Caenorhabditis elegans: one gene and its partners. The protein of the gene in region 3 interacts with the protein of the main gene of each other region in a pairwise test. Each region holds a gene or a part of one and is shown on either strand. Other genes may lie near its edges. The genes, in order: sas-4, wago-1, mut-16 and ego-1.

Evidence for each region.
Region 1: the proteins of mut-16 (region 3) and sas-4 interact in a two-hybrid assay, tested with the Caenorhabditis elegans proteins (one study listed by BioGRID).
Region 2: the proteins of mut-16 (region 3) and wago-1 interact in a two-hybrid assay, tested with the Caenorhabditis elegans proteins (one study listed by BioGRID).
Region 4: the proteins of mut-16 (region 3) and ego-1 interact in a two-hybrid assay, tested with the Caenorhabditis elegans proteins (one study listed by BioGRID).

The regions. Positions count from the first base shown.
Region 1 is NC_003281.10:8,313,359-8,321,111, reverse strand, and holds sas-4 (Spindle assembly abnormal protein 4), read left to right. Parts: upstream 1-2,523; 5' UTR 2,524-2,530; coding exon 2,531-2,623; intron 2,624-2,671; coding exon 2,672-2,767; intron 2,768-2,847; coding exon 2,848-3,192; intron 3,193-3,308; coding exon 3,309-3,528; intron 3,529-3,570; coding exon 3,571-4,103; intron 4,104-4,279; coding exon 4,280-4,723; intron 4,724-4,993; coding exon 4,994-5,152; intron 5,153-5,198; coding exon 5,199-5,386; intron 5,387-5,434; coding exon 5,435-5,494; intron 5,495-6,247; coding exon 6,248-6,536; 3' UTR 6,537-6,763; downstream 6,764-7,753. Other genes in the region: F10E9.10 (uncharacterized protein), read left to right, coding at 832-912, 963-1,067, 1,112-1,219, 1,266-1,382, 1,427-1,483; F10E9.11 (rRNA-processing protein FYV7), read left to right, coding at 1,974-2,041, 2,099-2,366; F10E9.2 (uncharacterized protein), read right to left, coding at 6,826-7,041, 7,089-7,213, 7,258-7,536, 7,585-7,666, 7,721-7,753. UniProt on the Caenorhabditis elegans protein: Required for centrosome duplication. Plays a central role in determining centrosome size.
Region 2 is NC_003279.8:7,232,729-7,239,626, reverse strand, and holds wago-1 (Argonaute protein wago-1), read right to left. Parts: upstream 4,244-6,898; 5' UTR 4,220-4,243; coding exon 4,055-4,219; intron 4,009-4,054; coding exon 3,428-4,008; intron 3,384-3,427; coding exon 2,651-3,383; intron 2,603-2,650; coding exon 2,427-2,602; intron 2,384-2,426; coding exon 2,208-2,383; intron 2,166-2,207; coding exon 1,819-2,165; intron 1,773-1,818; coding exon 1,533-1,772; intron 1,493-1,532; coding exon 1,185-1,492; intron 1,140-1,184; coding exon 1,028-1,139; 3' UTR 835-1,027; downstream 1-834. Other genes in the region: dhp-1 (Dihydropyrimidinase 1), read left to right, coding at 393-543; R06C7.2 (BEN domain-containing protein), read left to right, coding at 5,126-5,448, 5,499-5,523, 5,567-5,754, 5,802-5,967; hasp-1 (non-specific serine/threonine protein kinase), read left to right, coding at 6,507-6,694, 6,743-6,887. UniProt on the Caenorhabditis elegans protein: Argonaute protein which is involved in the endogenous small interfering RNA (endo-siRNA) pathway. Interacts with secondary 22G-RNAs, which are RNA-dependent RNA polymerase-derived endo-siRNAs, typically 22 nucleotides in length with a 5'guanosine residue.
Region 3 is NC_003279.8:10,078,083-10,086,823, forward strand, and holds mut-16 (MUTator), read left to right. Parts: upstream 1-2,076; 5' UTR 2,077-2,079; coding exon 2,080-2,319; intron 2,320-2,363; coding exon 2,364-2,486; intron 2,487-2,527; coding exon 2,528-2,707; intron 2,708-2,753; coding exon 2,754-2,878; intron 2,879-3,330; coding exon 3,331-3,722; intron 3,723-3,772; coding exon 3,773-3,895; intron 3,896-3,940; coding exon 3,941-4,053; intron 4,054-4,133; coding exon 4,134-4,563; intron 4,564-4,762; coding exon 4,763-5,071; intron 5,072-5,121; coding exon 5,122-5,182; intron 5,183-5,232; coding exon 5,233-5,305; intron 5,306-5,840; coding exon 5,841-5,959; intron 5,960-6,267; coding exon 6,268-6,991; intron 6,992-7,284; coding exon 7,285-7,437; 3' UTR 7,438-7,626; downstream 7,627-8,741. Other genes in the region: scpl-1 (CTD small phosphatase-like protein 1), read right to left, coding at 8,452-8,526, 8,706-8,741.
Region 4 is NC_003279.8:7,649,437-7,658,340, forward strand, and holds ego-1 (RNA-directed RNA polymerase), read right to left. Parts: upstream 6,903-8,904; 5' UTR 6,837-6,902; coding exon 6,729-6,836; intron 6,686-6,728; coding exon 6,521-6,685; intron 6,477-6,520; coding exon 6,102-6,476; intron 6,053-6,101; coding exon 5,912-6,052; intron 5,834-5,911; coding exon 5,699-5,833; intron 5,654-5,698; coding exon 4,472-5,653; intron 4,428-4,471; coding exon 4,050-4,427; intron 4,002-4,049; coding exon 3,890-4,001; intron 3,842-3,889; coding exon 3,399-3,841; intron 3,332-3,398; coding exon 2,858-3,331; intron 2,813-2,857; coding exon 2,633-2,812; intron 2,585-2,632; coding exon 2,446-2,584; intron 2,399-2,445; coding exon 1,869-2,398; intron 1,820-1,868; coding exon 1,450-1,819; intron 1,398-1,449; coding exon 1,231-1,397; 3' UTR 905-1,230; downstream 1-904. Other genes in the region: rrf-1 (RNA-directed RNA polymerase), read right to left, coding at 1-129, 224-331; F26A3.4 (Protein-tyrosine-phosphatase), read right to left, coding at 7,796-7,918, 7,973-8,080, 8,181-8,280, 8,494-8,843.

The DNA of each region.
Region 1 (7,753 bases), on a different chromosome or scaffold from region 3:
AAGCCACAAATATCGTACCTCTTCAGAAAACCTTAAAAATTTCCGAAATATTGTTATTTGAAGAACACATGTTTCAAGACATGAAATTTGAAAAACGCCAGAAATTCCGTTTTACCAGAAATTGAATTTATCAATTAGCTTTGAATTTATCGATTTGTTACTTTCAAAAAGCCAAGATTTTGTACACCTAGATTCGAAATTTTGCGATTTTCGACGAGGAAATACGGTACTTTGCGTTTAAAAAAACGTAAAATTCTTTGGATAATAGTAATTCAAACCTAAAACCTAAATAAATTTTAGATGTTTCAAAACTTTCAGTCAACTTTTTGGTAAATTGCCAAATTCTAAGAAAATGTGGGCTTTCCCAGCAATTTTGAGCATAAATGTAAATCTAATTTCTAGAAAGTTGTTAGTTTTTTTAATCCGAAAAAAAACTCGTAGAAATAATTTGTTCATTTTTAATAGAGAATCCTCCAAAATTATGATAAGGACTGATATTTTTTGACAGTGAACAATAAAATTTCAATTAAAAAAATTATATATCTATGATAATTTGGCATTTTGGCGAGAATAGTTTCTATCAATTTGTTTAACTAGCAAAATACGACCAGTTTGAAAATTTCATTAAGACAATCCAGATACTCTTGAAATAGATATTCTGGGAATAGTTTCATTTGAAAATAAACGGTATCCTTTAAACGATCAAGGCCGTTACTTATAACTTATAAAATTATATTTTACAAATAGTTATCTGCAAGTATCTACCCATTGACATCCTTATTTAACTCATTTCTTCTTTTTTCTTCTTACAATAATAATAATGTGTTCAGGATGGTCACAGTGATACCAAAAATAATAAGTTCTCCATATCCTCGGACACGCCTACCACTGTACCTCTACACTGTTTCCATCGTAAGAATTACCAATCAATAGAAAATTCAAGTTTACACCTATAATTCTAGATTATTTCCTGCTCTTTATTATACTGGAATCTTCTTTACTGCAAAAATTATGACTGTGTCGTTGAGAAGGAATTTCGATGGGGAAGTACTCGGCACTTACTACAGGTATCATACAATTTGGTACCATAAAGAAATGACATAACTTTCAGTACTTTCCGGTGATAGCAGCTCCGATTATAATGGTAATATCGTTTTCTTGGTTAATAATTGCAATATATTATTCAAGTAGTTCATGTGTTCTTACATTCAATTTTATGGTAAGTTTTATAGGAAGGAGGAATAAAATAAATATTGAAATTAAAGGAAATGCCATCTGCAGTACTTTGTTCTCTACTTGGTGGTATTAGTTCTGTAATAGAAATTCATTTTTCCATTGAAGTAAATCAAGTTCAATGGACTGATCAGTGGTTACTGTCATCTGTGGGTTTACCAATCAACGATTGTTTAAAAATCGATATTTTCAGGGATCTTCAATACTTTTATGCCTTTTACATGCTACAATTGCGTTCACACTTCAATAATCCTTCCAACATATTTGAATTTCCAATCTTCTTCAAATCGATGTGAAAAAACTTGTATCATTGTTTTTATCAAATATGAAACATTTTATAGGAATCAAAAATATTATGTGAACTGTGATATTTACTCTTGCTCAATTCATTTCATGTAAATATTATTTTGATACTCATTACTGGCATAAATTATATTTTCGAAATTCATGTCACGAGCGCGGATGATGAGGGACAATTCGAATTAATTCTCTTTTTCTCAACAAAAACAATTAAATTTTGAACCTCCCTCCGTTTTCTTTGAAAATGGCCTAGAATTGTGATGGCCGTGGACTAGCATTTTCCCTAGCACGACGGCGGGAATTGTCTGCGTCATCTTCGTCTTGCACGCTCTCTCGTTACCCCCCGCTGTGGTTATTATACCGTTTACCACCTTAATCCCTTCAAAACGCTTTTATAATTTCACATAATCTCTTCTTAGAAATCTCAATCGTTTATTCAGATGGGAAATCGATCAAAGACAGACAATGCAACTGCCGTGGCATCGCAACCACCCAAAAAAGTTAAATCGTAAGTTTTCTTTCCTATTTTCAAAACTAATATATCTGAAATCATCAACATTTTTAGGAAAAAGCAAAAGAAAATGAGCTTTTCACAAGCACAAGACGTATATCTTCGTCTGAAGCAAGAAAAAGAAGAGGAGAAACAACGAGAGCGAGCCGAACGAGAAAAGCGAAATGAGACGATTGCAGCGACAAATAAATCAAGAAAGAAGATGAATCAGGCATTGGCAAAAAGAAATAAAAAAGGACAACCAAATCTGAATGCTCAAATGGATGTACTTCTCGAGAGGATACAGAAAAGAGTGGATAAGGAGAAAAAGGAGAAGAAATGAACTAATTGTTTTGTCTTTTATATTTTCAGATTTTTTTTGTTGAAATGAAATTGTTGTGTTTTTAAAAATCGATAGTTTTATCGTTTCTTCGTTTCTTACCGATAGTATACTTTATTTTCTGAAATATAATTCAATTATTTATTAAAAACCTTTTCAGCCTTCAGATGGCTTCCGATGAAAATATCGGTGCCGACGGTGAACAGAAGCCTTCTCGGCCGTTTTTGAGAAAAGGACAAGGAACAGCAAGATTTAGAATGGTAGTTTGTGCAAATACAAGGCTTATCGAAATAATATATGAAGTTCAGCCTAGAAACAACAAAACATCTGCTGGTGCACCTCCAACGTCGGAACTTTCATCTGCTTCAAGTCCTTCTATTAATGTTCCTAGGTTTAGTCTGTCGGTAAGTAAAATATCTTAAATACAAACGTTATAAAACTGTGGTGACTAGTTAAATATAAATATTAAGTAGAATTATTCCAGAATGCTCTCCCGAACTCTGCCCGAACCGTGGACAGTGGAATATCAAATGAAGACGAGACCCGTCCACCAACCACCGCATCTCTTCCAATGGATCAACCATCATTGTCATCTTCGCCGGAAAATCGTCTAAATCCCGCACCTTCCGTTGCTGAAGAGCATGGCCACAGTGGACAGCACGCTGAAGAAGAAGAAGACAATGACACGGATGAAGTATCTGCAATGCCTTCTTTTGTGCCTGATGAACCTTCGACTCTTGTTAATTCAGATCATGAATTGTCTGATGATGCTTTAAAGTATAAAAATGCAGCTGCCGAATTCAAAGCTTTTGAGAGAAGAATGGATTCGGTAAGAACAGCCAAATCAGAATGATAATTGAAATTTTACATAGAATAGATTTACGTATCAAAAATCAAAACCTACGAATACTCTCTAATTCAAAATTTAATTAATTAAAATTAAAGATGAGATCAGCTTCAACAATCACAACATCACTGGCAACGCCATCATCTTGTGCACCATCAAACTCCTCTGAGCCTCCTACTCGGTCTACACCAATTATGAACGATTTAGGCGTTGGCCCAAATAATCACAATTGGCCGTCTTCAATGCAAGAATTATCAGGAATTTCTCTGGAAACACCACAGGCTCGACCGCTTGGCAGCAATAGAATTAATCAGCTTGGTAGGTTAATAACAAAAAAAACATGATTGATTAGATTTTTAGTTCGAAGTGAGGCTCAAACGGGAATAAGCCTTTTACAACACCATGAAAGACCTACTGTGACCGCCCCATTGAGACGAAATGATATGATGAACTCATCACGACAGAATCCACAGAATGGAAATGTTCAAGATGAAAATCGACCCGAGCACGTTTATGATCAACCAATACATGTTCCTGGATCATCACTGGACCGACAGAAACTTGAAATTGAAATTCGACGTCATCGTAACTTGAACATACAACTGAGAGACACTATTGCTCACTTGGATTATGCAGAAGAATCCGTGCACACCACAAAACGACAGCTCGAAGAAAAAATTTCCGAAGTCAATAATTTTAAGAAAGAACTGATAGAAGAATTTAAGAAATGCAAAAAAGGAGTTGAGGAAGAATTTGAGAAGAAGTTTGAGAAAATTAAGGAAGATTATGATGAACTTTACGAGAAATTGAAGAGGGATCAACGAGATCTTGAACGAGATCAGAAGATATTGAAGAAAGGAACGGGAGAAAGGAATAAAGAATTCACAGAAACGGTAATTAAGAATTTAAGCAAGAAATAGTTATTCGAGAAAAACCACGAAATTTCGATTGAAAATTTTTCTCAAAGCAAAATCTAAAATTTTCATTGAAATAAATTGAGAATTTAAAAAGTTGAAATTCTATTATAAAACCTTTAATTTAAAATCCAGCAAAACTTGTCAAATTTCAGATAGCCACTCTCCGCGACAAATTAAGAGCATCAGAAACCAAGAATGCACAATATCGACAGGATATACGTGTTCGAGACGAAAAGCTCAAGAAAAAAGACGAGGAAATCGAGAAGCTTCAGAAAGACGGAAACCGGCTAAAGAGCACTCTACAGACTTTAGAAAAGCGCGTAAAACAATTACGTACTGAAAAAGAACGCGACGATAAAGAAAAGGAGATGTTCGCGAAGGTTGCAATGAATCGAAAAACTTCGAATCCAGTGCCACCAGTTTTGAATCAAAGTGTTCCAATTTCGATAACATCAAATGGTCCATCTAGACATCCATCATCATCTTCGTTGACAACATTTAGAAAACCATCTACATCAAATCGAGAAAGAGGTGTTAGTTGGGCAGATGAACCAAATGAACAATCATTGGAAGCTGTACCACAGGAGTTTTTGATGGTAATATTTAGATCAAAGCAGGGTTTTTTTAAAATTGTTTTTAGAATATTGCTCTGAAAAAATCAATTCAAAAAAAATTTCAAATTATTTTTTCTTCCCGACTAAAAAATTAATATTTTTGAAAAATAGTTTTTTAAGTCTAAAAATTTACAGCTTACTATTAGCATTTGCCGAAAGTTCCGATTTTTCAAAATTCCCAGAATTAAAAATCAATAGTTTTCGAGTTACCGAAAATTGTCAAAAAAAAATTTTAAATCATGCTTTTTGAAGATGCCAGTCAAAGAAATGCCGGGAAAATTTGGAAAATGCACGATCTACAGAGATTCTCTTGGAGAAACATCTAAAGTGACGGATACAATAGCTAACGGTCTTCTTTTCGAATATTCCAATGGAGATCTTCGATGGGTTAATCGGCAGAACGCTGTTAATGTAAGTTTTAATTGGAATTTTGTCAATTAAAGTGACCAATTTACAGATCTACATATCCGCAGTTGATAAAACAGTCAGAATTGATCTCCCCACATACAATATTTCAATTATTCATACATTTCAAAGGCAAGTTGAAGTACTTCGTCCTGGAAATAACATAACATTGATAAGTATTAAACGACGAGAAGTTCGAACTGATTTGATTTATCAAAACGGAATGTATAAAACTGAAATGTAAGATTATTTTCTTTTTTAAAGTTCATCGGAAATTTCGTATTTCAGCTTCAATAGGGACGGAAGATATGTTACGAAGGATTTTAGCAATCAAGAAGTTTCGAGAAAGTGAGTCTCTATTCATTTTCCAATTAATTATTCAGAAAAACCATTAAAATCTCAAAACTATTACCCAGATGTTTAATTTAATTTAATTTAATTTATTACGATAGAAGATATCGTTAGGTAGAAAAAAAAACACACACACATTAATAGATACAAACCATCACAAGTGGTTACATAAATAAATTACATAAATAAAACGAAACAAAAATAAAAAAAGAGATGTGACATTTTGCGGCAAAAAATGTCTCGGCACGATAAAATTTAGTTAAATGGGAAAAGGCGTGCGCCTTTAAATATTACTGTAGTTTAAAAATCGCGTTACTGTCGAATTGTTGTTTGCCCCTTTTTTTTTTGATAAAAACATGTTTATTAGTTTAGAAAAAAGATAAATAAACCAAACTACAACAGTCTTTATAGGCGCACGTATTTTCACATTTAAAAATCTGTCCTTTAACGAAAAAATTGTAAAATTTGGCGCCTTCAAAGAGTACTGTAATTTCAAACTCAATTTGAAACAGAATTTTCATCGATTTTCCTTAGTTAGTTTTTCGATGAATTTTAATTTATTCATTAAAAAAACTCAAATAAGTATAACGATATTTTAGCAAATAATATATTTTCAAACAAAACATGTTTCTATAATTTTTGTCTAACCCAAAATTTAGGAATATGACCTCAATTCTTCAAAAAGTTAGTAAAACAGGTTTAAAACCCCGTTATAAATATTTTTGCCTCTGAAACCTATCAAATTTTCAGATACAATCCCGGTACACACACATATCGCGACAATCAATGTCGCTACGTTCTCGTCACTGATTACAACGATTTTGAGCTCGTTGAGCCAGAATTCCGTCTTCGTTGGTATCAGGGAGATCCGACTGGTCTCAACAATCAGTATATTCTCAAGATCATTGGACGACCTGAATGCAGCGAGAAAACATTGAGACTTGAAGTGAATCTTTCCACGTGTGAAGGTACATTGGAAACTGCAGAGATGATAGGCGATAAACGTCGGAAAACAACTTTGTTCCAGTGGAAAAAATGAGAAATTCCAACCCCTTTATTTTAACTTGTGGTTTGTATATCTATTCCATTGACATTATTTTTCACTCCTGAGTGCTCTAAAATTATAATTAATTCTACCTCCTGTAAAATCATATCAAATAATTCAATCATTTTTTACTATCTCAATTTTCACTTGCCCCCTCCCCCATTTCTTTCATATTGATCTTCATGGTTATTTTATTGACTGTTATAAACAATTTTAACTTTAAATGTTCTGCACAAAATTCGGGATTCAGATTGCAAAGATTTATTGGAACACTGGAGACATTTCAAGATGATCTCGGATCTTCTGCACGACTCGACGGACTCAAACTTTGAACATTTTCGTGTGAGATTTTCTTTTCTTTTTCCGCACTTTTCTTCTCTTTCTTCTCCTCACCACTTCCATCTTTCTTCTGATCATCTACATCCAGGAGCAGCATCTTGTGACGTGTAATCTTTAGATCACTGAGACGAGTTTTCGAATCGCCGACTTCAAGAGGAGCCTACAATCATCCTTATCTTTTTATATTCAGAATATCAAAAAACTAACCGGGTCACCTCGACCAGAAAACTCGCCTTCGCCTTCTTCACTCGATGATTTCTGAGTTCTCAGAGTAATCATATGGGTCTTACCGCTGACACCAAGAAGCGTGTAGAGTCGAGCCATCAGATCGTCTGAACGATATAATTGTTTAAAAATCTTAGATTCTTAAGCTTACGATAAGTGGCATCCGTTGGAAGGCTGACAACGACTGGCTTTGAAAGGTACAAAAAGTACCAAAGACGTTGATCCGGAACCTTCTTATGTCGACGAGTCCTTCCACTTTTTGATTTGTTCACAGATCCTTTCCGAGTAGCACGAGTACTTCCTCGAATCTTTCCACGTTCAGCTCCATTATTCGACAATTCTCCAGTATGCTCAGCAATTTGTTGCGGTGAGACTTCACGCGTAAAAGCATTTGACGGAGATGTCGAAGTGGCACAAGACGAGTGGTTTTCTGAAAGATTGAACTCTTTTTATCAGATTTCTGATCAATTTCTGTTACCTTTTGGCTGAAGTGGACTACACACCAGACAGTAGAAGTGCCCACAATCAAAACGATCCAAATTGTTTAACCCAATGATTAACTGGAATAATTGGTTTGATCTTTCAAAAACCTGCATTTTGTAAAACAATCTTACTTTCTTGCATGCATCACATTGTAATGAAAAATC
Region 2 (6,898 bases), 2.8 Mb from region 3:
TGTGTCGATTTACGGGCTCGATTTTTGAAATGAATTTCTTTTCGAATAGTGACAACGATATTTTGTAGCTTTTAAGTTTTCTTCTAATATTTGATCGATTATTTATTAAATGATGTCCGTAAGCGCTACAGTAGTCATTTAAAGAATTACTGTAGTTTTCGCTACGAGATATTTTGCGCGCCAAGTATGTTGTGCAATACGCATTCTCAAAATTTTGTGTTCCCATAATAGCATTTCGTACATGGTTGGAAGAAGGTTTCCGCACGCTCATTTTATCGTCTTAATTTTTGAAGGCGGCCAATGCAAAAAAAAAAAAATAATCTAAAAATGTTTGATTCTTGTATTCAGACATATTCTCTCAATGGCACAACATTAACCACAATCTATTACAGAGGGCGAATTGTATGGGCTCACGGAAAACTTCAAACAGTTCCCGGATCTGGGAAATTTATTCCCCTTCTTGCGAATTCACCATTCGTTTTTTCAACTCACGAGAAAAGGGAACAGAAAATTCAACCAAGGATAGTTGAAAGGCTTGAATGAAATTGCTTTTTTATTTATTACTTTTCTTGTTCTGATTAACTTTCGAATTACCATTTTGAGTTAAAAACGTGAATAAATTGTTTGTTCAATATTGAGATTACAACCAAAAAGTAATATTTAGTCGACTAGTCAATTGACTTGGAAGCAGCTCTAGAAATGTTTAATGTTCCAATTTCAAAAAAAAATCGAACAAAATTCCCCCTCATTATCAGACAATCTTCGTTTTCACTTGAAGATCCTCAAAAAACATCGCCTCGAACTTTTACGCACAAAGCAAATCTTTGAAAAATATTATCAGCCTAAAACTTTTATCATACCGAGTTTAATTACTACGGGTCACACAGAACCACATTACAAAAATATAAAACATTTGACTAAAAAATTACAATAAAACTAGCGGAAAAACCGTAAAATTATTATCCTAGGTGACCGTAAAATTATTATCCTAGGTAAAACATCAAGTGTATGTGGCATAGCTCCAAATCTATGCATTGACGCGCTTCTGATTGAGATCGGTTTGTTTGTAGCCGATTTCCTTTGTAAGTTCCTTGAGGCGCTCGCCTTGCGACTCCTTTGCTTCAATTGGTCCTTTAGTCCTGCAAAATATAAATAAATTTTTGTTTTAAACAAAAAAAACCTACGTTAGTTCACCCCAGAGATCTCTTCCACGCTTTGCATACTCATTTGCCACATAAAGTGGAGTGGGAATCGACGTGCTCAGGGAAACAATTTGGTGATGATGACACAAAGTGAAGGTCAGCTCCTCCAGGCGGTCCATTGGAGCTTTGCAGTCGTCAGCAAGAACAGTGTACAATGGTGTCTTTGCTGTTCCTTGAAGAGTCGTGTGACCGTTCAGGAAGAACTGCTTACATGCCGGATTCGTGACAGCGTTATCCAAGACAATGCCCGGAGGAATATTCATTTCAGTGGCTTTGCCGCCCGAACGAAGCTGAAAAGTTAGCGTAAAGAGAATAATAAAACAAATTTACCTGATCACGGAAGAATCGGTAACTGTGCTCCTTAGTGACGACGATGAAAATCAATTTGATTTCTTTCGAGTAACCATGGATAATAGCTCGGGCTAATGGGATTTCATAAGCCAGAATAGAAGCGTGAGAACCCTCCGATGCACCACTTCTATAAATGATGATTCTTTTTGGCAACGCTTTGCGGTTCTTTTCGAACAAATCGATTGAATTTTGCAACACGTCTTCAATTGATGCCATTGTCTGTAAAAATTACCATGTTGTTAACTCGAACACATTAATTATTTACGTCCTGTCCGGAGGGAGCCAAAACGAAATCGCCGACAAACTCGTGATTTGCAACAGCATTTGAAGCGAAGCCAATGATTTGTGGATTAAGATGTCCCTTGTTATCCATCATGTACTTCGTTCCAGCCGGTGGTGCGGAAACGCCAACTCCGATGATCAATTGTTCGTCGGTCATGCTCTTCTTTGCATCCGAAACAGTGTAGTTAAGACCACCTAACTTCACGTTAGTTTTGTTGATGATGTTCTCCAACGTCAATCTCTTCCCATCTTTGACAACGGCATTGGCTTTGGAAATTTTCATATCCTGGACGATCATCATTGTTCTCTGTTCCAAGGCTTTGTACTGCTCTGAAATTTTCAATGAACCATGAAAACTTAAGGAAAACTTACTGTGGAGGTGAACGATTGCGTCATCAGTGATCATCAAGACATACTTGCACTTACTCGCAGCCACTTTTTCCAGCTGAGTCATAATTTTTTCCGTACTGTAAAGTCCTGTTTCACATGGTGGCTTGATCACCATGCCTTTCTTCTTGCAAGAATCAATGAACATTCCGACGAGTTGGCTTAAGAATTGAATTGATTCATGTAAATTTCTATTTGTCTTACTTGACATCTCCAATGGAGAATCTGCAACCTGGATTTCCAACAGCGTAAGCAGCCCACAAATCAGGAACAGTCGCAGGCTTCACAAACCATCCTGGAGGCGCACGCCATTTTCCCATATCCGACATTACCGATCTCTGGTATACAAGTTCTTTTCCATCAAGCTCACGTGCTTGGACCTGGAAAAAGAAAACAAATATATTTTTTTACAATTTACACAAACTAACCATCAGAGGCTCCGAGTAAACCTTGATTCCAAGAGCGACGAGCAACTCGTTTTCGAGTGTAATGTTGACAGCATTTTTACCAGTGATGATCATTCGCTGACGGACATCCGGAAGAACCGCGCACTCCTTCGTTGTCTTTTGAGATTGATTTCCCGTTTGCTGAGGAATGGTGACACGTTGATTTCTGGACACAGTCATCAGTTCAGCCGGGAAGTAATTGTTGTTGCCTCGATCCTTACAAACCACCAAATTGGCGTTCGGATACTGTAGACTGATCTTGTATTTGTCCGCATAGTACTCGGCGATTGAACAAGTTTTTCCATCGGGCAACTCAAATCTGGTCTTTGTGGCACTTTCGTGAAAGATACCTTCGATTCTTAGATGGCGCTTTCTGTTGGTATAAGTCGAATAGCAATCAAGTCCTTTAATCACTGCCGCAGCCTTCTCACGGGTCATATTATTGAGTCCATTTGAAGGATCTTGTCCCGTGATGTCGAACAGTTTTTGGATCACAGTTTGCTCTTTGTGGAAAGCAGCTTTCATACCATCAATCACGAGAGATGGATTGTTCTGTCCGCGACCATAAGGACCCTCGATGAATTGAATCGTCTTCTTGAGGCCAGGATAAAGTTGTTTTCCGTCTCCTACGTCGACACAGTCTCGTTGATCGAATCCTTCTTCGGTGGCGTTGAGGAAATATACTTTTCCGTGCTCGAAGCATCCGAAACGATTTCTAAAATGAAGCGATGCTTTTAATAATTTTCGAAATTCACTTACGTTTCTCTCACGCAATGTTGATTCAGAGCAAGTTCCAAGAATTGAGTGTATTCTCGATTGTTTACTTCAATGTTTTGATCCGCAGTACGCTTGCCCAGATTTTCAGAAGAGAGCGTGATAGAGTTGTCCCTTGGGGCATAAATCTCGAGAGAAATGCAAGGCAGGGTCTTAAGGTCGTCATTGCCGGTATCAGCTCCGTTGATTTGGAAGACTTTGGACTTCGTACCGTTGGCATCCAGTTCTGAGAACAAGTTGACCGTCGTGTAGAGAGTTGATTGACCGTCATATACAATCTGATTCCCATCCTTCATTTTGAAGAATTCCGGGTTCTTCTCAACCGCAAGGAAAAAGATGTTGCAACACTTATCGCGACGATCCTGAACGACGAAGTCCTCCTTTCCTTTTTTAGTGAAAGTCACTTCCTTTGTTGAAGTCAAATCGGCCTTTGCGTGAACCATAAAACGATGAACTGTGGTTTCCTTTGTGACTTCAATTCCGAAGACATTGGTTTGGATGTCCACTGGTCTGCCCATTTTTCCAGGTTCGGTTGGCTTCATGTACATTTTCGCACCATCCTCAACCTGCAAATATGGCATTAGAAAGATCTTTGAATGCTGATAAACATACGTTTAACTGTTGTAAACGCTTGATGCATGCGTCGTTGCCAGTGCTTTGGTGAAGCTTTTGAGCATCGGCTGGAACTGGAGGCATTGGAGTCATAGCTCCTGGTGGAGCAGTGACTGGTGGCATTGGAGGCATCGGTGGATGCGGTTGTGGTGGATGAGGAGACATCTTATTACTATTGCAATATTAGTTCTGAAAAAAGCTTATATAAATAATATTCTGCACCGAATAAGCGAGATTGGAGAACATCTATAGAAAATTATGAATTTGTGAGATATTTAACAATAGTTTAAACAAATAAATCAGTTTTCTTCAAGAGATCAATCTAGAACGAAAATGGTACGTTATGAAGAAAGGGCAAACTACGGAATTTTCGTATTGCCGACGAAAAAGAATAATGATTCGAGATTTTTCGGTGTTTCAGAGGCGGCATAAAAACAAATAACGACTAGATTTGTACAAAATCATCATTATTAATGACGCAAGAATACAGAATCCGATAATTGGCGGCTAGATCAAATGTAGATCACTTTTACATTTTTAAGATTCAACGAGCAAGTTTCTTAAGATTTTGTAACTAGATTATTATTAAAATATAAAAATAATCTTGAAAATTAACAAAAATTATTGAAAACTGTCACAAACCGGAAAAGAATACAAAAAACAATTTCTTCGTCCTAAAAAATTTAAATGACAACGCATACAGTACATAAGAATGGAGATCGCTGCGAGACCCACTCAGTGTTAAAACGAACGCTCCTTGAATTTATTTTTGCTGTACAGCCTTATTTTTCTCCTTTTTACAAGTATTGTGTGCTTTCCATGTTTTAAAAAGTGACTTAGTTGTTAATTTTATTTTGAATGATACTCATCTAATTCAGGCTTGTAGCTTAGATCGCAATGAAGTTAATCGTTTGCAACCTATGTGGATTCCCGCCAGCAAGAAGGCAATTTTACATCACCACCTGCTCTCACATCTTGTCGAACAACGCAGACTGCTGGATTTTGTTATTTGTGTAAGGTCCCTACGAAAACTCTTAAAATAGATGGAAATCTGCCGAAAATGTGCGGAAAATGTTCAGCGCTGTACATCCCGATTCGCGACGTGACTGTAAAAAGTACAGATATTCTCAAACGTCTCACCAGAATTATTGGTTTTTAAAGTATTCAGAATTCAATTTATTAGGAAAACGAAAAATAAAAGGTAATTTTTTGCACTTGTTTCATGCAGAAGAAAAAGTTTTATTTCAGTCGGTGATGCTAAAAGATCAAACGGCGAAAACAGAGAAAAGGACACAGGAAATCACATGCCAACTGTCGAAGCTAGCCAATTTTGAGGAAAATAATCGAAAGAAGCTTCAAGATACTGAACGCGAGAACAAGAAGCTTCGAAATTTGTAAGTAGTTTCTGCACGAGATTAAATTTAACATTTTTTTTCTATTTTAGAATCAATTCCCTTGAACTGAAACTTGTCAGTTCTCCTGTTATCGACAATAACGATTTTTTTATTCAAGGAAAATCTACCTCTTCAAATCCTTTTTTTTTTAATCTCGGAAAATGACGAATTGCTCGAACGTGTATTTCACTTCCATTGTGCCACCTTCACCAAATTGTCAGACTTCCAACTTCTTTTTTTTCCAACACCAATGTATGTTGCAAATGAGTACGCGAAGAGTGGTCGTAATTTGTGGAATGAAGCCATGTGAGTTTAAGAAAATGACAACAGTTGATATTAAAATATTTTTGCAGCATTGCGGATGCAATTCCCGAAGTTTCTGGACCAGAGGCAGCTCGTATGAAGCAGATTACCGATAGCATCAAATACAAGGAATCCGGCTTCCTGATCGACCGTCGTGTCAATGCTTCAGCACTAATAATTCAATCAAATTGTAGTATTTTCAATTCCAACTTCTAGTTTGTGAGAAGCATACCATGATTTTTTATTTGTATCCCACCCTGTCATTCTTGTTTTTGCGTTACATACAATGCGTATCTAATAGTAAGTGGTGTAACTGCTAATTTCATTTTCCCCCGTTGCCCTATTATTGTTTTGACCTACGTGGAAATTGATTTTTTGTTGTTGTTGTTGAGTGCAGATTATAGAATGTAGCCTGTTGTTATGTTAAGTTGTACGTGCAATGTTGTTGTAGTCTCCTTAAACCCATAAAAATCATAAAACTTATTTCAGTTTTAAGTTTGAAAAATCGGGATCACCAAAATAATATTTCTTTCGCTTTTTTGGTTTTGAACAAAGTTTTAGATTGGGAAAATTTTCAAAAAACCAATACATGGAAATTTTATTTTTTTTGTTTTTTTGTTATGGAATACCAGTGTTCTCCGTAGAGCGCACTTTCATTTATATTTTCGGCGCGTTATTTATTGTTTCAAACCAACTCTTTGCATTTTGCGCTACATTATATAACGTTTTAATCAATTTCCACTTTTTTTTGCAGAATGCCTCCTAAACCCCGAATAAAAGTGCCAATATCGCCCGGGAAAAAAGCTCGAAATAATTTTGCCCGACGAAATCGTCAATTGTCAAGCGTAATTATCACAGAATGCCCGATCGACTTTCCTGAATATGAGTTTTCAAAAAATCCGGCGCTGTTTAAGTCGTTTAATGATAATCCAGAGTTCAAACCGTATGTTAAAAATTGTTTTCAAAGTAACAAAATTTAAAATTTCTTCAGAAGCAAAAAGAAGAATAAGCCAAAACCAGTGTTCCCACCATCTCCAAATGTCAGTGATGTCGAAATATCAAGTGATGAGGAAGATGCTGGACAATTTAAAGTGCCTGATGCAGATGCTGATGAAGAAGAAAAAATTAAGAAAATCGTTAGTATTTT
Region 3 (8,741 bases):
CGATGTTTACAAATTTTTGGATTTCGTATTTGGGTAATTTTTATAGCTAACCAGCCGCAACCCTAAAATACGACTATAATACCCCGACGGCGCCAGATCCGCTTCGTACATTTAACGCTAATTCTCTTACTTCGTCTTTAACTAGGAAATTACAAGAATATACGATGAATGTACGAATGGGGGAGATTGAAAATCTTCGCAAAGTCTGTGAATGTGCTATGAAGCGATTTGCCGATAGCAAGTTAGAAGCTTTCTTCTGGATAAGAAGAAACCTCTGCTCAACTGTTATTGGACGATCTCAACATAGTCACAGATTGTATTGTTAGAATAAAAAATAAAATACTGTTAACATTGCATGACTGATCGGTTTTTTCGACGTGGAATCAGTTCTAAGCTGTTCGCTCACAAATCCCTGATACAAATTCCAATCATTTTGAAATAAAAATGCTTTAAAATTTCACTGTTCATTCCTAGATTGCAAACTTTTGGGTGACGTAGGTTCTTTGGAGACAAAGTGTCCAAAGTGACAAAGGATCCAGTAGACAAAATGGGGTGTATCTTGGGGCCAAGGATCAATGGTACCAACCTTTTTTCAACTAGTTTCTTATATGTATTTTTCAGCTAATTTTTGTTTATATTTCACTGGAAAAAGTTTTTTTAATGCACTTTCCATAGGATTTTCGGTCATAATTCGCTCAGATAAACTTGTAAATGTCCTTTCCGATCGATTTATTCACTCGATTAGTCGTTGAATGTATATGGTGAGTGAGATTATGCGATGCTCAAAATGAATTTTCAATTTTCCCGCCGATACAGAAACTAATTTTGATTAAGGAACATTGTGGTGAGTGCGCGTCTGGTCCCGACGCGAAATTAATTTTAATGCTTTGAAACTTTTTTCTAATATTTTCGTTAAAAATTAAGGTTTATAGCCTTCAAAAATTATATATGGTCTTCAATAATTTTTTATTAAAGCTTTCAAATATTTAAATCTGAAATCTTAACCAAATTTTAAAACTACATACGATTTAATTTGAAATCATACACGTGAAATGAGTGTGACCGTAGTAGAAGCGCCGCTTTGTTTGAGTTGTATTTGAAAAATGTATTTTCTCCTTTTCAACTTTTAAAACTGCGATTTACTTCACCATATTCGTTATTTCTTTTCGTTTTCAAAGTAATTATTGTTTAGCTATTCAAAAAATTACTAAAAAGCGATAAAATTCGAAACAGAAGGTGTTAATTAACATGTTAATTGATCCTTTTGTGGCCTAAAAATAAACTATTTACCGATACACTTTCATAATAGTTCTTTCGGAAAATTAAAGTACTTTTTTGTCGATCGGTTTGAGAAAATGTGCCGGTGAATTTGATTTTATATATATATTTTTCAATTTTAAAAGCCAGTTTATCGTATACAAACAAATTTCTGTTATGTTTTAATGAAGCGACTGTTCATTAGTTTAAAAAACATGCCGATTTAGATGATTTTTTAGTTTCAAAACGTTTTCTTCAATTCTAATACTTGTTTTCGATAGAAATTCAACTTTTCCTGAACGCAATGCAATCGCGCTCTATCGACGTTTCAATGAATAACCGTCAATCATCTGCTTGCCGATCGAATATTTAGAACGCGTTTTATTGCTCCTTAACATTTTTTATCATTATTTCAATTGAAAAAACCATTTAAACAGTTTTCCAATCAGTTTGTTTCAAAATTGCCTTCCAGATCGAATTTCATTTAAATCTCAAGCACTGGAAATTGAAGAACAAGCTTCCGAATTCAAAAACAAAACAAAATATTAACTGTTAAAAATCTTTATAATCTATGATTATTGTTTATTGCAGACTTATCGGCTCAAAATGAAATGAATTAACGCAACAGTGCACGACTTGAAGTTTTAGCTATTATATATATTATTGAGAGACCTTATTACAAATTTCGCTTGTTTGTCCCAGAATCGTAATACTTCCTGGAATAGAAAGTTTTCTTTAATGCCTCTAGCAAATTATCGTTTACTTCTCATTTATTGCCGTTCAAACGTTTCAACCCACTCAAATACTCGATATTTGCAGAAAATGTCCGAAAGTGATGATGATTATCCGGAATTAGACATCTCCGATCAATATATCGATCCATTGGGGATCGTTGTTGGTCCACCACCCGCCTCGTATACGGAAACTGATCGTGAAGAAACTCCCATGCAAAATCGAACTGAAGATGACACTAATAGCTATGGAAATTCATCGGGTGAACATGACTACGATAGTTATTTGGATTCAGGAGACGATGACTTTGACGTGGATGCCTACTATGCGGTAAGATTCGTGTTCGTATATTTCAATTTTATTTTCTGATTCAGAATGACAATATGGATGAACCTCCACCAGAAACGATACCGGACAATCTTATACAAAACGTCATCGGAAGAAATGATAACGCCGATTATGATTTCAGCGATGCAAGTAATCCAGAAATCATGAAGGTATTTAAATACTTATATGATCTCGTGACCTAATGGTTTAGCGTGATCTTCAGCTGTTCCTGAGCTCTTCATTGCTGAGCAATCCATTGAAATTCCGTTCTGGATACTCCTCGGATGAATTGGATGATTGTTTGAAATCTTGTATGGGATACAGTCTTCAAGTAACAGCTGTTTTATTGCTTCCTCCAGAAATTATTTCTCAGCTTCCAAACGATTCCAAGGTAAATTACAATGTGCATAGGGAGACTATAACTTAATTGTTTTCAGACCGAACACGCCCATGCACTTGTACGAGGAGGTTGGCTGCAGTCCAAAGAGGGCGCATTCTTTCCAGTCATTTCCGATTCAGAACGTGAGACTGTTGTTTCGTTGATGAATGGATCCGAAGAACAGTGCGTTTTTTTTGTCACGAAAAGCTCTGAACGACTCGAAATAAGGCACCGGCGATCAGAGAGACGCTATTACAGGCTTTTTTTGTGGAAATTTTTATGTGAATTATTGTTAAAAACAGCAATTAATTTGTTTTTTGCACTGAAACCCCGTCATAATTGCTCTCGTAAATCGATATAATTCCCTATGTTCATGGAATAATCGAATTTGAATTATTTTATTCTTGTTTTGAACATATTTTTTCAAAATCAATAGCGAAATTGCTCAAATTCCATTTTTTTTAATCGAATGACTATTGTGCCGATTCACGAGAGAAATTAAGAAAATATTTCAGTACAAAAAAAAAAAATATATAAGTTAAATATTTCTGAGCTCTCCTTGCCAAATCACCACAAAAAAAACACAGTCTCTTCGATCGGTGGTGTTTCCTCGAAATGGCGTATAAAATTTGCAGGCACAAACGCCAGGAAAGGAAGAAAAAGGAAGCAGATACATTTGAATCCGAAGAGAAGGAAATTCGTACTCTACTCACATTCAACATGATTGCGGAATTGTTAATGGCTGTCAGAAATGAATATAGCATTCGTTCAGTTAAATATCAAATTCTTTCAACTGCTTATACAAATATGGTTACTGGTGCGGCACATGCGAATATTTTTCGAAAATATAAGGATATTCTTCAACTCGATCCAGAAAAACTGTGGAATAATGATTGGTTCAAAGAGTATACAAATCGAGGAACACTGAAGAAGTTTCTAACAACTGCAAGATTTTCTGAAATTGTGGTTTCACAAGCCAACGGCAAAACTGTAGAACTCTATTTTAGAGCTGACGATGAAGGAAACCGTGAGTAACTAAAAATATTTTCGATTTATTTTCAACGTTTGTTCATTCAGGACCAGTTGTTCTTTTCACTGATGAACATATTGCGGATGTTAGGAACAAATGGAAAACCGGCAATCAGAGAAATCAGAACTACGGAAGCCAAGGCAATTATAGGGCCGGTGGACAGAGATCAGGTACATTGCATTTTTTGTGATTATCTAAAAATCTTTCTTTTCTAGATGATCGTCGTGGTCCACAACAACGCAGAAATGTAATTGTACCAGATCCGAATTATCAACCATCGACTTTTGCTGGGGGCATTTCTAACAATGCAGATGATGATGGATCGTTGGTGAGTGCGATAAAAAAAACATTCATTATTCACAAAATTCTTTGTGTGCAATATAGAAATGAAATTTATGTGATTTTCAGCAACCAACAACTTCATCGCACTTTAATCGAAATACTGATCGGTCAACATCTCGTCCTCCACGTGCACCCACTTCTCCAGTCAATCGTGTGATGGAAACAGATCCACTAATGGGCCAAGGCACTTCGTCCGGAGCCCCTCAACGATCCGCGATTCCGAATCCATTTGGTGGAGCACCAGCTCTTAGCAGAAGCACAATCACCAATGGTAACCGTGGTCCTTCATATGGAGATCGTGGTGAGCGTGTTCAAGATGTCGGTGATACGACATCAGATAGTGAAATCACTTCTGAAGGATCCTACTCTGATGAAGATCCCGAGCAAAAGGAGATTAAGCGTCAAAGAAGAAAGGATAAACTTAAAAAGAAACAGGAAAGAGAACTAAGAAGTCGTGAGAAGCACACGAAGTCTAAGCAGCAACCTCCTTCGAAAAGTACGAATTTTATCATTTCCAAAGCGGAGTTTAGTGAATGGGGATGATGCTTCGTTTTTTTTCATTTTTCTATTGTGGTATTTCTGAACTTGAGACTATTTTAAATTTTTGAACTTTCAAACACCAACGATATTCCGCCTTACAAAAATTTTCCAAAATCACCAATTTGAACTATTAAATTTATGAAAATCTATTTCAGTTGAGACTCGATTCAATACGTACAAGAAAAAATCAGAATCATCTGCTACTGACACTTCCAATACACCTCCAGTTGACACTGTGAATGTAGCTCTCCCGACTCCAGTAGTAGAATCGTCTTCTACGACCGCAGCACCGTCAATCCCTGTTTCGACACGTCCTGAAGTCGTCGTTCCACCTGAGAATCCAGCTCCACTCAGAGAAGTCGGAAATTTCTACTCTAAATCGAATCACGACGAGGATAGACGCAATGTTCAACTTCCTTTCACACCAGCGGATACGCACAAACCGATTAAAGTTGCGCCAAAAGGTATTTTAAGCAGTTTAGGACTCGTCTTAATAGCCTAAAATCAGTTTCAGAGCCTGTACGGAATCCGCTTTTGAAAGAACGACCTTCAGCCAATGGTTTCATCAACAGAAGGTTCCTAGCTTTAAAATTTAATCTTTCAATTACCAAAAAAATTATTGCAGACTGCCATCACATCCAGCACCACCACCAGTCAACCAAAGTCAACCAGCCAATCAACCAATGCAAACAGCTGTGGTAATTTCATTTTTAATAATATTTTAAGTCTAAACATTCTATCCACACTTACGTTAGAAAAAATTGTTAGAAAAATCTAATGCCTCCGTGCATTTCTGTACCACTGAAATTTCATAGTGATCCAATTTTAATGACCGTAGTCTTGAGAACTTTGACTGTGTATCTACAACAAATATTTGAAAATTTGCGAAAAATTGTTCACATGATTACATTTTCGATCTATTTTTGCTGTTTTCGAAATAGTTTTGCTTCACAGTTCGGATAAAGTTGAGAGAAATGTGAAATTATAATTTATTGAGTTCTCTGGAAGACAGAAAAAATTAACAGAAAAACTGAAAGAAAACAGTATTGTTCACGTGAACAAGAATTGGGACATTCTTTTAAAAGACTGAAGATCTTTTCCATTAATTTATTGTCCAACACAGTCAGAAACTTTTCGAAGTGATGCGTTGGGTATTTGAACCATATTTCTTTAACCATGTTCGTTTTTTTCTCAAATCCTACAAGTTTGAAGTCATAATCATTATCTTTTCAGTATCAAAACTCTCATCCGGGTGCACCATATATCCCTCAACAGCCAACATATCAGCCACAGCTTCCTGTACAACAACCTCAACCACATCAATATGCGCCTCAACCAATACATCATCAACAGTAAGGATTATACTTAAAAATTCATTCCAAAAGTTAAATAAAGAACGCTCAAATGGACCCAAATCGAATTTTTTGATAAGATTTCGCAAAAATTTCCGAAATAAAAAAACTCTTTTTCGGTTAATAAATTCATAAATTTGACAATATTTTCAAGAAATTTGATATTATTTGACCATCTTTAAAAGTAATGTAAAACAATTCGCGTAATAATTGTAGTCTTGGGGTTTTCATGCAAGCAAAAGACATATCCTTTTTTGCTAAAATTGAGAAAAAAAAACAGAAAAATTCACAAAACTAACATTTTTCAGGCCAATCCACCAACCGATGCACGGCCAACAGTATCCGCCAGTTAATCAGCAGCAACCAATCTATCAACAACCGGCACCACAGTATCCACCATACAATTCAATTCAGAACAACCCTCAACATGGTCCTTCTCCATTTAATTATTCTCAAGTGCCACAACCTGCTTATAATCACGTTGGCCAACAACCATCACATATGAGCAATCAACCTCATATCAATCAAAATGGATATCAAAATTCGTACAATCCGAATCAGGGTCCGACTTCTTCCGATCCAAATTATGGATGTAATCCACAATTCAATCATTATGGCAGTAGATCAGTTTATCATGAAGATCATTCATCACAAAGAAGAAGATCACCTGATCAGTTTCCACCAAATCCTCCAGAATACGATCCACACGGAAACTTCAAACTTGCTGATTATGAAAGAGATCGAATGACAGTCGGATACAGTCAAAATCCACATCAATTTGACCATCACGGAAGTCATATGCCTCATCAGTCACAACCACAAGGATATGACAATTTTAACGGAAATTCTGCGCCGTACTTTAATAAAAACGGAGGACAATCAAACCATCAACCGGAAGCTCAAAGATCTTTTAGTGTTCTCTCTTCGAATCGTCAGCCATCGAACAGGGAATTAATATTTCAAGATGGAATTGAGAAGGAATTGAGAGATATAATTCTCCGTTATCGAAGCATGAACTTGACAGTATTGACAGTAAGTAGTAATTTTCGTTGAAAGTTTCAATTTGTTCTACGATGTGATATTAGTAATTATATAAAAAGTATTACGAGAAAATTTGATTGACACATACGAAAAAAATCTTTAAAAATAAAGAGTATTTTCAAATCATCTCTACACTATATTTTCGTATAATTAAAACAAGCTTTTTACTTCGAAAAATGCCATGTTTTTTCTTTCAAAAAGACTTCTTGATTAGAGTAACTGTACCAATTTTATGTTAAGTTTTTTTAATGAAAAGGTTTTCGTTAAAAGTGAATTATTTTCAGGTACAAGAACTGAGAACAGAAGTGAGCAGACGTCCTGCTATTCCTCGGTACATTGATATTGTCCAATATATTAGAGATTCTTCATCGGTTGCTATAGTGGAAAGAGGTGACATTGAGCCGTATGTCGTTTTGAAAGATGATATCCGAAACTAAGAATTTACTTGTTCCTATTACTGTTCCATTTTTATTTGTATTCACCCACTCGTCTCAATTTTTTCATTTTTTCTAAACCCATGTTTTTTTTTTTTAATTTTCGTTCTTATTGACTGCCTACTGATTATTACCTGTTTTTTCATACTTGAATCGCCAAACTTTCCTAATTAATATTTTTACGAGTCCAAATTTGTGTTTTAATATTTATAAAAAGTAGAAGAACCGGGAGTCAACTGATAATAATAATACTGCACGAATATTGGTGGTGACGGTGACAATTCAAAACAGGGATACGTGTCTCTGGGAAAGGGATGAAGGGAAAACTCGGGTTGAAAATTGGAACGAAGGCACTGGATGGAGGATGAGGGATGCACGTTTTCAGTATTTGGGGGTGATTGCTTCAGAATTGGCAACTTTTTGAATCTAATTACTGTTTTCCTTTTCTTTGGAATTTCAGAAATATTAGATTCAAAAAGAGAAAATAGCTCGTATTTACAGCATAATTATACTAAAACGAATGACAAAGTGCAACTACGTAGGGGAAAAATACAAGAAAACACAAAATGACAAATTTTGCAAATTTTGGTGAAACTATTTTGGAGAAAAATGTTGTCCAAAAAAGGATACACACTACGACGGTTTTGAAACTAAAATTTTTCTTTTTTGGAAACACTAATAAGGGGCAATAATTTGATATTAAAAGATCACAATTCGGATGAGAATGATGATGATGCGATGGGGGGGGGGGGGGGGGGGACTGTGGAGAATTTAACTGGTAAAAAAGGAAAACAAAGAAGGGCAAGTGGGACAGAAAAAATCCAATTAGAAATCTGAGAGAAAATGGGAAGAGAGTGGGGAATCCTGAGTGGATATGTATTTTCATTCGAATTTATTTCGGAAAGATTTGGATTTTTATTTGGGAAAAGGCAATTATAGTACTTTTGTGATTTGAGCTACGACGACGTCTCGAACAAGAAAACAGCTACTTTGTGAATTTATGATATGACGTATTAATTAGCAAGAGCAGTGATTCAGAAGCTCGGATTGTGGTCCTTCTTCTGGTCGATACAGATCATAGATGCTTGAGAACTGAAAAATGTTATTTTTACTTTTAAATTAGGCGATTTTGAAAGAGTTTTTCAAAATAATTTTGAATTTCCAGTATATTCAGTATTCAGTCACTTTTTCTTAACAAAAACTTGCCCAATTAATTCTCATAGAAAATTTTGGCCAATAAATAGTTTTCAAAAAAAAAATTAAATCCAAACCCCGTTTAAGTGCTCCAAAGATGGAAGAATATCCAA
Region 4 (8,904 bases), 2.4 Mb from region 3:
TATAATTGTGTGATCAAACTGTTCGCTCTCAACTTCAAAGTTTATTTCAAAGAAGCAATCGCAGTCCTGTTCTTCAACAATTTGAGTTTCTTGACGGGATTTGATTTCGATTTCGTATTTACGAAGAACCTAGAAATATCATAATAATTATTAAAACAAGCGTCATTTTTTTAATCGAAAAATGTCCAAAAAATGAATTAAAATTCTCAAAACCATGACGCACTGAAGTAAATGTCAGTAACATTGTATCGATACTTCCTTCGATGACTTGAAGCGAGTTATCGAATTCCGGAAATTCAAATTTAATGAATCCATGACTTCGTTCCGACATGACGAGGAGTCTGAAAAATTTTATACAGATAAATTTTAATGGCCAACGCACGAAAAACAAGGTTTTATGGAAGACAAACAAAAATAAAGATTTTTTAAATTTGCCATCGATCAATTGGATATTTAAATTTTTACTGTTATACAACTAAAAATAACTATAAATTAGGTTCTCATTAACCTTCACTTTGAAATTTACAAAAACATTTTTTGAAAGTTAACAACCCGCTGAAATGCAAAAATCGGTTCACTGAAAAAGACGCTGCCCGTCGGAGACGCAGACAGCTGAAAAAGACACTGTGGTGACAATGCAACAGTGAGCAAGTATCGTGATTATTATTCCGTAATTTTATTTACGGAAACTCATTTAAAACTATTTTCTAATAATAAAGAAATTTAATTTCATCTCGGAAAATTGAGCACCTTTAAAAAGTTGTATATTTAAAATGTTTTAAAATTTTTCTGATCAAAAACAACTGCATTTCAAAAATGTTGATTTCAGTCGAGAAGGAAAAAAGTTCGATAGTTTGGTCCAAAATTCAAACAAAATCGACAGCATTTCAATTTTTCAAGAAATCTGGCTATATTCTATCCAATAGGAAAATCATGTACGAAAAAACGCATATAACAAATAAAATACAAATATCGGATTCGTAATAAAACAGACAATTCATTGAAACAGATAACCGAAACGCTGAAAACGATGAAAAGAAGGAGAAACCTATCCATTTCAATCAATCAGCAAAAGAAACAACAGGAAAATATAATGAGAAAAAGAAACAGAAATAAGCATGCCAATTAAAACATGCAAAAAAAAAACAGAAAAATAAAATTTAAAATGAAAACCATATTAAACATTTAAAATCTCTGAAAACACTGCTAAAAACGAATAAGAGAAACATTCTAGATGTTGATGTGTCCTCTGACAATCTTTTCATAGCACAATCGAGCCATCTGTGTAGACACATCTTGTCCCGTTACGTACGTTTTGATGGGAACTTTTACAGCAACCAGTTGACGCAACTTGTACATTGACTCGAGAGTTCCACGTGTAGAAACCAGAAGACGCACTATAATAATTTGAAAATTAAATCTGTTTACCATTCGATTTTGTTAACTCACTATTGATTTTTTGCACATCATCCGAAGAGCGAACTGATTTCTCCATGTTTCGCATGAATATCTCTTTTACACCAGTATGCTCTACCAGCTTGCGATGAACCAATGAACGATCACAATTGGCTGGTAATTCAATCACGAACGGTTCGTTTTCTCGAATTATTGAACGAACTGTAGTTGTTGGATCAGTTGACACAGGAAGTTCTTCGAATCGTAAATTGAATAACACGTTGTAGTAGGTTTTGAGTGCGGCCAAATGGAAAATTTGCCATTCTCCTCGCATGAAAATTGATGAGAAATCAAGAGCACAGAATGAGAGATTCGCCATTTTTCGGAACTTTCGCGAGGCCAAAAATTCGAGAAACTTCACCATCTGAAAACAGTCATTATTATAAAAAAAATAACACAAATATTCTTCTCACCATCTGACTTTTTCCTTTTTCCTCAATATATAAACTGGGCTCAAAGTCTCCAATTGTTTTACTCTGCTTGTAACTTTTCTCATCGACCTTATTGAAGAACTTGGCAGCATTTCCATCAACGGAAGAAAATTGCCTTGTAGCAAACAGGATAAATAGCAGTGATAAATGATATTCTCGAAGTGATTGATTTTCAAATAGATTTGAAATCCGTGCCCATTCGTCTAACATGAATAAGACTGCATCCAATCCTGGATAAGTTTCTGTGTACATTTTGATGATTCTATGAGCTCGTTTCACTTGTTCTCCACTAGTTTTAGGTGTTGAAAATTGTCGAAAAGCTTCGAATTTTCTCGAGTTATCGACAAGATACTGAGATCTGTGGTCGTCAAGCATTGTGTACAATGGATTTGCTCCACCCATCTTAACTTCGTCACTTGTAAGACTTTTGTCTTGTTTCACTTTTGCGATGACGTCATATGCGAGCCAAGCGAACGACAATTTCTTGTTTTCTCGAGTTATTCGAGCTTCCTCTGAAATTAAAATAGTATTTATTTTTATTTCAAGTTATCCAACTAACCATAGCAAGCTCTGTACCAAGCTACGGCCTTTTTCATCATCTGCACTGTCGGAGCACGACATTGTCGTTGAAGAATATTACTATCACGTCCGTAACGAGAGAATGCTTCTGTGTTACCTTCCCAGCCGCCTTCGAATTCCTGAAATTACGCATGTACACATATGTAACTGGCTTAGGAAAGCTTTACTTCAAAAAATATCTCTCGGTATTTCTTGAACAAATTTGTCAATTTCGTCTCGATCATCTGGTTTGTGTTGAAGAATGACATATCATCTTGATCCTTATCCGAAATTCTGTTTCGCATGTCAACAATGCATCCTGAGAAGACTTCACCTTCTGTTTTGATTCCATAGTTTTCCATCATTGACTGAAAAAACATGGTCATCTTTCAACTATTTCTCCTAAAACTCACTCTCAACTGAGCATTATATCTTGCTAAATCGTTTTTTGCACTAGCCATATATTCCGTATATCCATCAATTTTGATAGTTTCATCTATAGAAATCTCCACTTGCTCGTCTCGTTCTTCCGAAATTTTGAGTACATCATCAATTGCTTTGAACTCGCGAAACAGTTTTCCACACAATCTTGGACTGACATACATTGGAGTATGGTCATTTCCCATGTGATAATCAGGTACTCTTTCAGCTCTTTCAGGTGGAATCATTTCGCCAGTTTCTTCATCTTTTCTCCATTTCCTTTCAAGTTCATCAGGTGGTTGTCCAGACTTAGTGAAGTCCACAGCTTGACAATTTTTCTTCGCCAAATCCATGCAAACTCTTGCGTTTAATCCATATTGGTCAGAATTGTGAAGATGACTATTCGAGATTTGTCCAACGGAATCCAATTTCAAGTACTTGACATAGAACTCACGCATCAAGTCATCCTGAAAATATTATTTATTGCGACTAGAATTAAATATATTTATGTAATCTCGTTAAAACGAAACTCACGATTTCATCTTCTTTAAAGCTCGCCTTCTGTTTCTCTGAAGTGAAATCATATGGATCTTCATTTTTGTCCAGAAGCAACTGTTGATCCCAAATGATAGAATATTCATCTCCATCCAAATCAGATCCAGCCATTTCATCAGGATGAGGCCTCGGTCCATGTTGTGGGAATACTACTACATCACACATGTGATGAAGTTCTGGAATATCGACAGCCTCGAAAATCCGAACATCTCCGGCAACAATGCATGGATTTTTGGTCAAGAGAACCGTTCCTGTAAGAACTTGTCGCGCAGCGTTTTTGGGTGGAAGTTTCAGGGCCAGATTTTTGGTATACTGTACGAAGATTTGACCATATTGAAGACGCCCAGTCTCGTCAACGACTCCAAGCATTGACCGTCCGAGATCACACGGAATGGGAATTTGTTCTTTTCGGAGTTGTCTGGCTGTAACAAATATGGTTTGTTTAAAAAGCTTCATTCGTTTAAACTTACTGATTGAGAACTTGATCGATGCTTTGATAAGAGATCGGAAAAATGGTTCGCTAGACAATGTGAATCCCCATGTTGTTCTCAAGTAGTCAATATCTACGCGACGAGGTAGCTCCTGAATAATAACAGTAATGAGGATACTATCAGTAATTTAATAACAAACCTTCAGTCGATTTCTGCAAAAAGTTTCATCCACCATTTGTTGGGCAAAAGAAAGCATTTGTCTGTCCAGTAACTCTTCGATTCGATTTGTTACTCTTCGATGACATTCCAAGGATTGCATTTCCGAAACTTGATCGAGAATATTGATGAATGGCTTGTTTAATGCCACTGGAACTGGCGATGAGTACTTGACGATTTCCACTTGATCACGTGGGTGTCTCTTTGAAATAAATTTAATTTGACTTGGGCGAAACATACAGTTCAAGCTCCACGAACTGTCATCGCTCGGTTTGCTGATATTATACGAAATTGACCACTGGCGAAGATTGTCAAGAAGAGGTTCGATTGAGATGACTCCTTTCATTCCACGGAAACGAAACTGAAAAAAACTATTAAGAAACACCAAAGAAAAGATTATGGTACCTGAAAGCAGCTGGGAACACCTTTTCCAAAATCCATAACTTCTGAGACCATTTGAGCAAATCGATAACTCATCATTCCAACTCCATCAGAAAACGTGTATTCATCTCCTTTCAAATTTTTTCCTCCAGTCAAATCGTACGTTGTCATATACGTGCATCTTTCCAAATTCACTCCTGACAATCTGCTTTGTGTAAAACACTGTCCAAGACGAGCCATCATTTTTGGAATGTTGTCAATAGTCTCGAATCGTCCCAAATTCTTTCGAGCAGCTTGGATCTTTGGATTGAAAGTGATTGGTGGTTTGATTTGATATATCCGTTCGTATTCTCTGCACTGTGATGATGAATATTTTTCCATGAAGTAAGCACCGTTATCTCTCATTTGTGAGTTCGAGCTTCCTAAATAGCCGAAATTACGACCAGCAACAGTAATTCCATTTTTGAGATATTGATTGACGGTTTTTTCAAGCATAGTCGAAGTTTTATTCGTTCGCATTTTCTGATTATCATCATCTCGGAAAGTGATTCTTAGAACTCTTGTTCCATCATGGTCGTATCGTCGCAGTACTCGATTTCCCATCAACGTCTCCGGTGCCACATAGATAACACGAGTCGGTGTGAAAATAATCTTTCGAACTCTTTGATATCCCTCTCTCATTTCTTCAGTTGTTAATCCATTAACCAGACTGTTTCTCTGTCTCGTTTGACAAATTCTATCGAAACACTTGATCAATGATCCAATTCGTTTTCTACCATCGATCATGTGAACCAAATCCTCAAGTCCGGCCTCACAAAGTTTGTCATCTTTCGTGTAGTAGTGGAGAATCACTTCAAGGAATCGGTGCCATATTCCTTCATCAAGCAAAATTTGATCCTTAACCACTGCTCCTCTCGAAATCAGACATTCCAGGAGATAAGTGATGGCGAATTTTCTTTCCCTGTTGGTGTCAACTTCTCGAGAGCCACATACTTCATGTTTCTTTGGAAATGCGGTCGTGATGAAATCTCTGTAAATAGGCGCAGAGAAATGAGTGGGCGACAGATGTTGATTATTTAGGAATGTCCAACGGTTATAAGGATTCTCTCTCCAAATGAGACAGTCAATCGAAGGAATGTCCGCGAATTCAATGGAAACTCCAGTACGGATGCGAAGTCTTGAAAGTAAGCGGTAGATTTCATTGAGCTGGAATAATTACACGTAAAAACTTGATGCATATTGAATTATTACCCCAACAGATTGATCAAACTCGATTGTGAACACAGGACTATCCGTTATTGCTTTAGCTGTTGGATACTGATTCGCGCTTCGTCCACGATTGATCACCAAATATCTTCGATAATGTGGGACGGAGTGCCGATTTTCCTGAAAATTGTAATTAACATCTTATTTCGATATTTCATAATCGCGAAATTTCATGGTTTACGGCTTGGGTGTGCTCACCGATTCCTGTTTTGCCGTTCGGTAGGCTCTTCTAATGAGAACAGGACAATTAAGTTCGAAATGTACACGAATCCGATCCGAACCATTACAATCTTGAACGACAGGATCAACAATAATCCGACGAATAGAAGTTCTCCTAACCTGAAAGTTTTTGTTATGATTTTTATTCCCAATTCTATTGAAAACATACTGTAATCTGGTAATACATGGTAACTGTTTGTTTGGTCCTCTTCGCATCTTTATCAGCAACCTCAAAATCATTTTCAAAGTGCTTGAAGTGAACTGTCATAAAATCAATTTTATCGAATTCGAACTCCACTTTGATTTGGTTCATTCCAATTTTATCGGCTTGTGTTGGTTCAGTATTCCTCGTTCTTGCCGACTTCCGACGTCTAACGTCATCCCAGAAAGACACTTCCCAATGATTAATGAATGTTCCGCCTTGAATATTTCCAAAGAAAACAGCGGCAAGCGGAATATCAACCAAATGACATGTCAATTCGGAAGACCAAAAATCGGAACTGTGAAGAACGAGATTTCCACGTTGGAATGGCATAAGATGATCCTGGAAAAGTACGAATACGATAGAAAGTTTCGACAGCAACAAACCGTTGATAAATCTTTTAAATATGTCTGGATCGCCGCAATTAGATCATGTGAAAACCTGCTGGTCGCAACTTCATAATTTGTTTCATAAAACGGCTCACAATCTTGCTCTTCGACAACCTGAACCTGTCCTTTTGTCAAAACCTTGATGTTGTATTCATTCAATGCCTAAAACAAAAAAAATGATTGATGAACACATTGTCTAACTTACTGGCTCTAATTTTGCTACATGGCATTTAACTATGGGTCCCATTTGCCGCTCTGGCAGAGAACAGGGAATTTCGAGTTTAATCCATCCACGATAACCTTCGTCCCCCATTGTTGCGAGGATTCGGGATAATTTTTGATATATCTTAGGCTAAAATCGTTTTGAGGTAGATGGTCTGTAAGAAAAATATTACAATTTCAACATTTTAGACCATGGTTACACGGATTTTAAATTTTTAGATAAAAAAAGAGATTTTCTGGTTAGAATTGCAGCGTTAAAAATATTCGATTTTTTAAAATTACGTTTCACTAGACTAAAGCATCATGAATCATATAAAATAAATGAGAAAACAGAAATATTTGGGCATTTGGGATGAAAATTGATTCAAATTCGAAAAACGTTTCTGGCGCGCTATCGTATCTGCCCTGTTCGTTGCGAGACTTGTAGTTCACAACGATTTAAGCTCCTTTGAAGGCAGCGGCATTTTGAAATCGAATTTCGAATTATTAACCTTCTTCTTCGCAGTTTTTAGCTATGAGCGAGAAACAAATAAGAAAAAAGTGGCACGCGTTATAGTTCAAAAATTTCGTTGTCGCGGTGAGACAAGGGCTGTTGTCTTTTGGGCTTTGGTTTTTTTGGCAAAAATGGGAGAAAAAACTTTCACAAGTTAATTTTTAGTCGGGACGAGGAATTCGATTTTTTTGTATTTTTATTAGTCCAAAGTCCGAATAGTTTTTAAATAATCTGCATCTCCAATTTTTCTAATGATTATTTTACGAGAACTTGTGTTTGAATGGAAATTCGCAACATGAAGATAAAATTAATAAATCTCAAAATTTATTTACATGGCACCGGAAACTACAGATTTCGACCCGTATTTCTGATATAATTGAGAGAGGAATAGAATAACATTTGAAAAGAAATTGAAATTGAACAACTAAAGCACTGACCCGTTTCAGGGAAAAAAAGTGGTAATTGCGCCTAATTGGTGTGCATGGTGGGAGGTGGAAAGGGAGGAAAACAGAAAAAAAACAAGAAAATATGATATGAAATATGGAAAATAATGATAATCAGCAAACAGCTTCAGCCATTTCCATCACAGGTTCAAGCACTGGACGGAATTTAGATTTGAATCCAGAATTTCGGCGTTCTCGTGGCTCATCTGGGATCATATTTGGATCTTGCTCCGGGCTCTGAAAATTAAAAGGGTCAATTTCTGTAGTTTGAAATATGATTTGTAAACTTACAGCTGGTCTAGCTGGAATTGCAATATTAAGATAAACATCGGGAAGTAATTGTTCTGGTTGAGCTTCATCTCTCACCAATCGAACAGAACCAGCATTTTCTTTGACGTTCTGTAAGATACAAATTATAAACTTTGGACCTAATGATAAGAAAATAAGAATGATCAAACTAGATTTTGAGTGTTTATGTCTTTAACTTTCAGTTACATACCTGTTCATAAGCAATAAGTTGGCGCCAGAAACCAAGATTTGGACGAACCATTGAACGCTTTGATTTCATCAAATGATAAGCTTCACGAAGATTTCGGCAACTGGAAATAGATCAAAAATCAATATGTGCATTCTATTTTAGTTCATGGGAAAACATCAGATTCATTAGTTTTTGTTTTCCGGCACGTGCTCTCTTCCCATTTATTGGATACTTATGATATCACATGAAAGCACATGTCCAATAGAATTTATAATAGGGGAAAGCACTGAGTTTCTGGACTATTTTTGGTTCTAACTAAAACAAGATGACATACCGATATTTGAGCAAGAAAGCCAAACAGATGGAAGCAGAACGTGACACTCCGGCGACACAGTGCACGAGAACTTTTCCCCCATCAGCAATGAGTGCTTGAATCTGATCAGATTGAAGTTCAAGATGTGGATAGATATATGTCTGTGGAGTATCTTCAAGCCAAAGTTTTGTACGTTGAATGTCTCCAAGACTTCTGAGATTTGGAACTTCTGTTGTTGCATTTATGATATGTGTGATCTTATGTTTCTTCATTTCATCTTTGCTCAACGCAGAAACTCCACAGATAAATAATCCCGGAACGATTTCTGACATGGCCGCATATTCTGGATTTACACGGAAAGACAGTGTCATTTTGTAGTGTATCTGTAATCATATTAAATTTGATTCGAGTACCAAGAGGTTATCAATGAGA